Linked DNA regions of Rattus norvegicus. The main gene of each other region encodes a partner of the protein of the gene in region 2 in a complex. Links are inferred from orthologs where the notes say so. Each region holds a gene or a part of one and is shown on either strand. Other genes may lie near its edges.

Region 1 (3,648 bases), on a different chromosome or scaffold from region 2:
ACTGAGCCATCTCTCCAGCCCCGAGACCTCCTTGTCTTAAGAAAAGCAAGCAGGGGGCTGGAAAGATGGCTCAGTGGTTAAGAGCACTGAGTGCTCTCCCAGACGTCCTGAGTTCAAATCCCAGCAACCACATGGTGGCTCACAAACATCTGTAATGAGATCTGATGCCCTCTTCTGGTGTATCTGAAGACAGCTACAGCATACTCATGTATAATAAATAAGGAAATCTTTTTTTAAAAAATGAAAAAGAAAAGAAAGCAGGTAGTGGATTTCAAATTTCAGGGCAGCTCAGGAAGTTTGAGGCTAGCTTGGGAATCCTGTCTTCAAGAGCAAAACTTGGCTTGATGGTGCAGATCAGCAATGCTACCACAAAAGGAGGTAGAGGTAGTAGGATCACAGGTATCCTCTGGAAGCCAGGCCAGCCTGGGCTACATGAAACCCTACCTCAAAAAAAATTGAAGATTTGATGGTGTTCTTTTTTTTTTTAAGATTTATTTATTTATTGTATGTAAGTACACTGTCACTGTCTTCAGACACTGGATCCCATTACAAATGGTTGTGAGCCACCATGTGATTGCTGGGATTTGAACTTAGGACCTCTGGAAGAGCAGTCAGTGCTCTTAACCACTGAGCCATCTCTCCAGCCCTCCCCCCCCCCTTTTTAATCGTTTTTCTTCATGAACCTTGTGTAGCCCTGGCTGTCCTGGAACTCACTCTGTAGACCAGGCTGACTTCAAACTCTGAGATCCACCTGCCTCTGCCTCCTGAGTGCTGGGATTAAAGATTTACATGCTCTGACTGTTACTGCCACTGCTGCCACCACCACCACCTCCACCAATGCATGTTTTTAGTCCTAAAACTTGGAAGGCAGAGGCAGCTGGGTCTTTGTGAATTGAAGCCAGCCTGGTCAGCCTGGTCTACATAATGATTTCCTGACCAGCAAGTGTTATATAGTGAAACTCTTTATCAAAGAAAGAGAGAGAGAGAGAGAGAGAGAGAGCGAGCACGATGGAGTGATGGCTCAGCTGTTAAGAGCACTGTCTGCTCTTCCAAAGGTCCTGAGTTCAATTCCCAGCAACCACATGGTGACTCACAACCATCTGTAATGGGATCCGATGCCCTCTTCTGGTGTGTCTGAAGACAGAGACAGTGTACTTGTCATATAAAATAAATAAATAAAATCTTAAGAAAAAAAAGAGAGAGAAAGAAAGAAAAAGAAAAGCCGGGCTGGGGTTGGAGATTTAGCTCAGTGGTAGAGCGCTTGCCTAGCAAGCGCAAGGCCCTGGGTTCGGTCCCCAGCTCCGAAAAATAGAAAAAAGAAAAAGAAAAAAAAAAAAAAAAAAAAAAAAAAAAAAAAGAAAAGCCGGGCTGGAGAGATGGCTCAGTGGTTAAGAGCACTGACTGGGGGTTGGGGATTTTGCTCAGTGGTAGAGCGCTTGCCTAGCAAGCGCAAGGCCCTGGGTTCGGTCCCCAGCTCCGAAAAAAAAAGAAAAGGAAAAAAAAAAAGAGCACTGAGTTCAATTCCCAGCAACCACATGGTGGCTCACAACCATCTGTAATGAGATCTGATGCCCTCTTCTGGTGTGTATGAAGACAGCTACAGTGTACATGTATAAATAAAATAAATAAATCTTTAAAAAAAAAGAAAGCCGGGTTGGGGATTTAGCTCAGTGGTAGAGCGCTTGCCTAGCAAGCGCAAGGCCCTGGGTTCGGTCCTCAGCTCTGACAAAAAAAAAAAAAAAAAAAAAAAGAAAAGAAAAGAAAAGAAAGAAAGAAAGAAAAAGAAAATTGAAAAAAAAGAGAGGGCTGGAGAGGTGGCTCAGTGGTTAAGGGCACCCGACTGCTCTTCCAGAGGTCCTGAGTTCAAATCCCAGCAACCACATGGTGGCTCACAACCATCTGTAAAGAGATCCGATTCCCTCTTCTCGTGTATCTGAAGACCGCTACAGTGTACTTATATATAATAAATGAATAAATAAATCTTTAAAAAAAAAGAGAGAGAAAGAAAAAAAGAAAAGCCAGACTATAATAACATAGAGAATAAGAAAGACTTTTGAGGGTCTTCCTCTGCTTCATAAAGGGAGTCATTAGAGGCCAATAGGATGACCTTGGCACCTTGGCCTTCTAGACAGAGAACCAGGAAAAGACAGGTGGTGTCTTTAGAGAGACTTTCTAGCTGGGGTGGGGGAACCTTCATCTCCAGGCAAGGGGTAACATGGATGACCAGGGCGGTGACTTCTCTGTCCTGCCAGGTGGAAGGTGGGTGGCCGCCACCAGAGAGATGGTGCGAACAGCTCTTCTCCAGCGTGGTGCCTGTGCTGCTTGGGGGCTCCGAGGAGGAGCCTGGGGGCCGGCAGCTTCTCGACTTGGACTGCTTCTTGTCCGATATCTCCGACACACTCTTCACCATGACACAGCCCAGCCCCTCGTCCCTGCAGCTGCCCTCAGAAGACGGTGAGCAGTGAATTGGGGGGAGCAGGGGGGAGAAGACTGAAATGTCTTCCCAGCCTGCAGTTTCCAACCTCACCACTGTCCCTCCAGCTTATGTTGGCAATGCTGACATGATCCAGCCAGACCTGACGCCGCTGCAGCCCAGCCTGGATGACTTCATGGAGATATCAGGTGGGATGGGTCCTTCCTCCCCAGGTAGGGCAGACTCAAAAGAAGGGGTCAGGTTAGGAAAAAACTCTAGGAGACTGTAAGGCTTTATGCCAGTGGGAGAATGAATGGTACTTTAACTTGAGATGGAGGGGGAGCGGGTTAGTTGGAATTCAAGGCCTTGTGCCTAGAAGGCAGGTGCTCTACCACTGAGCCACGCCCCCAGCCCCTCACTGGGGGATTCTAGGCAGGGGCTCTACCACTGAGCCACACCCCCAGCCCCTCACTGGGGGATTCTAGTCAGGGGCTCTACCACTGAACCACGCCCCCAGCCCCTCACTGGGGGATTCTAGGCAGGGTCTCTACCACTGAGCCATGCCCCCAACCCCTCACTGGGGGATTCTAGTCAGGGGCTCTACCACTGAGCCACACCCCCAGCCCCTCACTGGGGGATTCTAGTCAGGGGCTCTACCACTGAGCCACACCCCCAGCTCCTTCCTCACTGGGGGATTCTAGGTGGGTGCTCTACCACACATCCTTTTTGGTCTGGGATGAGAGAATCCTTGGGTTCAATCCCAAACACTTCGTAAGCCACTGTGACTGACAAGAGAATTCAAGGTGTCGAACCTCTTGTCTATTTTTGAGACGGGGTCTCAGTATATAGTTCTGGAACTCACTGTGTAGACCAGGCTGGCCTCAAACTCACAGAGATTTGCCTCCTTTTGTCTCCCAAATGCCAGAATTAAAGGCATGCATAATACACCCAGTTTAGCTTCAAGGGTTTTTTGTTGTTGGTGGTGTTTTGTTTTGTTTTGTTTTTTTAAGTGTTTTGCAAAGTGGCAGGTTTTCTCAGACTTCTCTTTTCTTGGGTTACTGAGTTTCTGATGTGTCCGGGTGTTTCCAGATACCCTGACCCGGTCAGTATGAATCCTTTTCTCTCTCTCTCTCTCTCTCTCTCTCTCTCTCCCCTCCCTCTCTCTCTCTCTCTCTCTCTCTCTCTCTCTCTCTCTCTCTCTCTCCCCTTTCATTTCTTTTGAGACGGGATGTTTT
Region 2 (4,168 bases):
CTTACAGTGCTCACAAGGAAGGTGGCACACAAGTGGGGAGTAGTGAGTAGTGTGATCACGGGCTGGTTACCTGCCGATACCTCGGTAGCTAATGATTAAGTCACCCGGGTAGTTTCTATATGTTTCTATGCTATAGGGCATATATACTATTCCTAATCAGAATGTGAACTCGTGTATATGTACAGTCAAAAACAAGGTAAAGGCTGATCAATGGATGTAAGTTACAAATTCCCTTGTGTTATGCACTTCACCCTGACTATACACAACATTGTTCTGTATTTCTCAGTGGGCTAGAAAAAAACTTAATTTTCACCATAAAAAAAGATCAAGTCTGAGATAGGCTATTTAAGCATTATACAACATACACATATATTTAAACATCACAGGAGATACACCCATTCACGTTCAATTTGTTTATTAACTTTATTAGTATTAAGAATTTCTGTATCCTAGAAATTGGGGGCATATCTGTAAGCTCAGCACCCAAGAGGCAGAGGGGCGAAGACTGAGTGGTGAGTCTGAGCCTAGGCTGGGCTACACAACAAAAGAGGTGGGGATGAGGGAAACAGATATCATTTGTACAGTCCAGAGGAGAAATACTGGATGTACTACATGTAACATTATAGATTATTTTTCATAGCAAGTGGAAAAAGTAAGATTGTATCTTATCAGAAAGGGAGAAATAAGAAACTGAAGTCAAGGATTAAAATAAAACAAAACCAAAGGCTTGTACTCAGCACACAGTTTACGGAAGGTCTCGAGACAACAGTGGAGACAGGGGAGCTAAGAAGCAGAGACGAATTAACTCCTGAAGATCACAGCTAGAAAACAATACAGAAAAGAACTGAATCACATTTACCTCATAGTGCTGTTTTTGGATTCACAGCCAAATGGGAAAAATGCACTTTTTGCAGCAGCTCAAATCTCTGGGGACTCTGCCTAGGGAGTGAGCATCAAGGGAATGTGCTCGGCCTGGTTTCCACACAGGCTGCCTCCCTGATCCATACATCTCCAAGTCTAAAATGGCTTCAATATAACCCAAGCACTGCATGATGGGAAATGGAAGATAACAGGGTAGGAGCCACACTCCAGGGGACGACAGTCCATAAATACTTGCCACCGATGAAAGAGGATATTCAATCTGTAAGTAGGTGTGTGGTTTAGGCCGAATCACCTCATTTCTTATAAAGACTTCATCTGTAAGATGAGTGAATGGTTTCTTATAGTTGGAAGGCAGAGGCTAAGAAAATCATTTAGCATTTGGTACAGGATTTCAGCTTTTCTTTTCTAAGCTCATGCTTAAAATTCTAACTTGGGTGGGGAAGGAAAAAAAAAACCGGCGTTCTCCAGCTATTTAATGCTAAGGCATAGATCTTTAAATTAAAAAAAAAAAAAAAAAAAAAAAGAGACTTGGGCAACCCAAAGAAATGGAATGCACTGGAGGGTGGTCAAGAGAAATCCACCAAGAACCCAGTAATATTTGTATAAATTTGCAGAAGCTAGATGTGTGATGCTGAGTAAGCACCTGCTCAGTCCTATAAACTGTAGGTCTGGATGGTCTCACAGGGACACCTGAGATACAGTGAGAAATGTAATTTCCATATTCTCTAAAGTGCTGCACCTTTCTGCATCGGCTCCCGGGATTTTACAGATTTGTAACATCTTGCCAAATTCCACCTCCCACACCAGGCAAGTCAAATCAAGAGTCGAATGCTATCTGGTCTCACCAGAGAAAATGTACTGAACGCAAGGACACGAGCCATGCATTTTTACAGAGGTTAGCAAATTCTCACCAACGCTGCCACCTTTGGAATCCTCGATGCATGCAAGTTCTCCATTTGCAACAGACCCAGATGCACTCATCTTGCAAAAAAAAGGGTCCACATCTCACCTACTCCTTCCTCAGTGAGGTTACTAGACAAATTTCTATGTGTGTGTGTGTGTGTGTGTGTGTGTGTATATATATATATATATATATATATATGGAAAAAAAACAAAAAACGCGTATGGATGAATGAATTTGGGGCGCGGACACATGAGATTCTGGCAGTAAATGACGACAAATATCAAGAGAAAGACTCAATACTCAGCCTGATCTTCCCCCACCCCATTGGGAATTCCGGTTTGAATCAGTAAATGGTTCAGACAAATCCATTTCTTGTTATTTTGTTCTCCCCCCATTTCTTAATTCAAACATCAACCCTGCTGTCAGGGGATCTCGGGTCCAGCTGGGTTTCCCACACCAGCGATGATGAAACAGCTTTACTGCAAAGGGGGAGAGGGATTCACCCCAGCTGTCGCCAAGGTTAAACCCTTACTCATCCAGGGGAGTGCGGCAGGGGCGTCGCGGCTCGGGAACTCGCCCGCCTTCGACTACATTTCAATTTTTGAAAGTCACAAAGAATGAACAAGGTTGACAGGCCCAGAGGGATGGCTCCGGGCCTGAAGGGAGCAGGCAGGGGCGGCGCTGAGCAGAGGAGGTGCCGAGGGGAGTCCGCGGCCCAGTGGTCTCCAGACACGCAGGCCCGGCCGCACCCCGTACGGAGCGCTAAGAGAGAAGCCCCGGCTTCCCGCGGAGACGCAGGCCCGGCCGGAAGCGGGGAGGGGCGGCAGCGAGACTGGCCGCAGCCGCCGCCCGAGAAGGGGCTTCGCGCTGGGGCCCCTGGGAGCCGCGCCGCACTCACCGCGGAGGACTGTAGGGAGCAAAGGCGCTTCCGGGAAGATCGAAGGGCAGCGACTACGTCCTTCCCGGACTCACTCCTCAGGCGATGCTGGCGGCAGCGGCGGTGGCGGCGACAGTAGATGCAGTGGCGGCGGCAGCGGCAGTGGCTACCCGGCTCAGGAATCGGCGGCGGCGGTGGCGGCGGCAGCTGCACTTCCGTTCCGGCCACCACTTCCGCTCTAGCCCAAGTCCCGCCCCACCCTAAGTCGACTCATCATTGGGTGAATGAAGCACGGGGTTGCTCCGTCCTCCTGAAAAGGGCGGTGATAGCCAGGAGGAGGGGAAGTCAAGGAGGACCAAAAGGGAGCGGTCGTGGGAGGGCGCAGAGCCTGGGTGGGAGCGAGGAGGGGGCGGACGTAGGGAAAGGAAGTGGGGCGGGGGAGAGCAGGAAAAGGAGGAAGAAGAGAGGGCGGAGCCGAGGTGGCCGCCCTGGGGCTGGGCTGTGAGAGAACTGGGTAGGCTACCGGAGGGGATAGTTTGGAAGCCTGGAGCGGTCTTGGTCCAGGCTAGGGTAGTCTGTTCCTACCCAACCCTGAAAATAACTCTCACGGGGTCGGAGGGCCCAGCAGTCTTAGTAGCTGTGCGTTAAGGGAATGCTTGTAACTGAAGAGAACAGACATGGCCAGCCCTCCATTTTCAGCTAATTCATCTTTCAGTCCTAAAAGGTACTTACTGTTCCTTTCCTAGACCAACGAAGCTTCGTGAAGTGTCAGGAACAGAACATTCCCAAGGTCTTAAAAAAACAAAAAAAGAAAAAACCAAAAAACCAAACCTGTGTACATCAGTTCTTCGTTGAGATTCTCTGGTTTCCAAGTGTCCTTCAAAGAGAAAGCCTCAAAGACAGAACCCTGGGATCCCCAAACGACTTTCACTGTTACCTAACTTTTATTAATACTTCACTCAAGCCAGTTGACCCTTAAGCATAGCCCTTCAAAATACCTCTACCACCACTCCATTTTCCACAAATTCTGTCTGGCAGCTTTCTGAATGCTAGAGAATACAGCAAGACGTATCTTGAAGCTTACAGTCTCTAGAAAAAAGAACAAAGTAACAGGCCTTTGTCTTTTCTCCTTTACCCTTACTTAGCTTAATGATAGACTTCAAATTCACCACTTGACTCTCAGGCCTTACCCCCATCAAGTACCGAGCGGAGCGGTCTCTTCAATGTCATTCTGTGTCTGTTACTCTGAAATCCGTTGCTAATGGCTCAGACTTAATAGTTCCTGAGACAACTAGAGCTCTGTCCTTACCCATCATCAGCACCCCAATTCGTTTATATAACTCTCTATTCTCCCAACGTACTGTTCCAGAATGTATAAACAGTTTGAGATGGCTGCTATCTTAGGGTTTCTCTTGCTGTGATGCTGGGGAGGAAAGGGTTTATTTGACTTACACTCCCAAATCATTCATTATCAAGGAAGTCAGTTCAAAAACTCAAGCGTCAAG

Evidence for each region.
Region 1: the proteins of Ywhab (region 2) and Mlxipl are in contact, whole or in part, in a crystal structure (PDB 6YGJ), measured with the Homo sapiens proteins. The link is inferred for Rattus norvegicus from reciprocal best matches to the Homo sapiens genes YWHAB and MLXIPL. Residues at the interface, in NP_003395.1 of Homo sapiens: Gly55, Arg58, Ser59, Trp61, Arg62, Ser65, Ser66, Gln69, Lys70, Arg129, Val178, Tyr181, Glu182, Asn185, Leu218, Gln221, Leu222, Asp225, Asn226, Leu229, Trp230; in NP_116569.1 of Homo sapiens: Asp118, Ile120, Arg121, Asn124, Ala125, Trp127, Arg128, Ala129, Trp130, Tyr131, Ile132, Tyr134.

Annotation. Positions count from the first base shown.
Region 1 is NC_086030.1:27,193,124-27,196,771, reverse strand, and holds part of Mlxipl (carbohydrate-responsive element-binding protein), read left to right. Parts: intron 1-2,252; coding exon 2,253-2,454; intron 2,455-2,541; coding exon 2,542-2,622; intron 2,623-3,648. UniProt on the Homo sapiens protein: Binds DNA as a heterodimer with MLX/TCFL4 and activates transcription. Binds to the canonical E box sequence 5'-CACGTG-3'. Plays a role in transcriptional activation of glycolytic target genes. Involved in glucose-responsive gene regulation.
Region 2 is NC_086021.1:173,077,741-173,081,908, reverse strand, and holds the start of Ywhab (14-3-3 protein beta/alpha), read right to left. Parts: upstream 2,839-4,168; 5' UTR 2,685-2,838; intron 1-2,684. UniProt on the Homo sapiens protein: Adapter protein implicated in the regulation of a large spectrum of both general and specialized signaling pathways. Binds to a large number of partners, usually by recognition of a phosphoserine or phosphothreonine motif.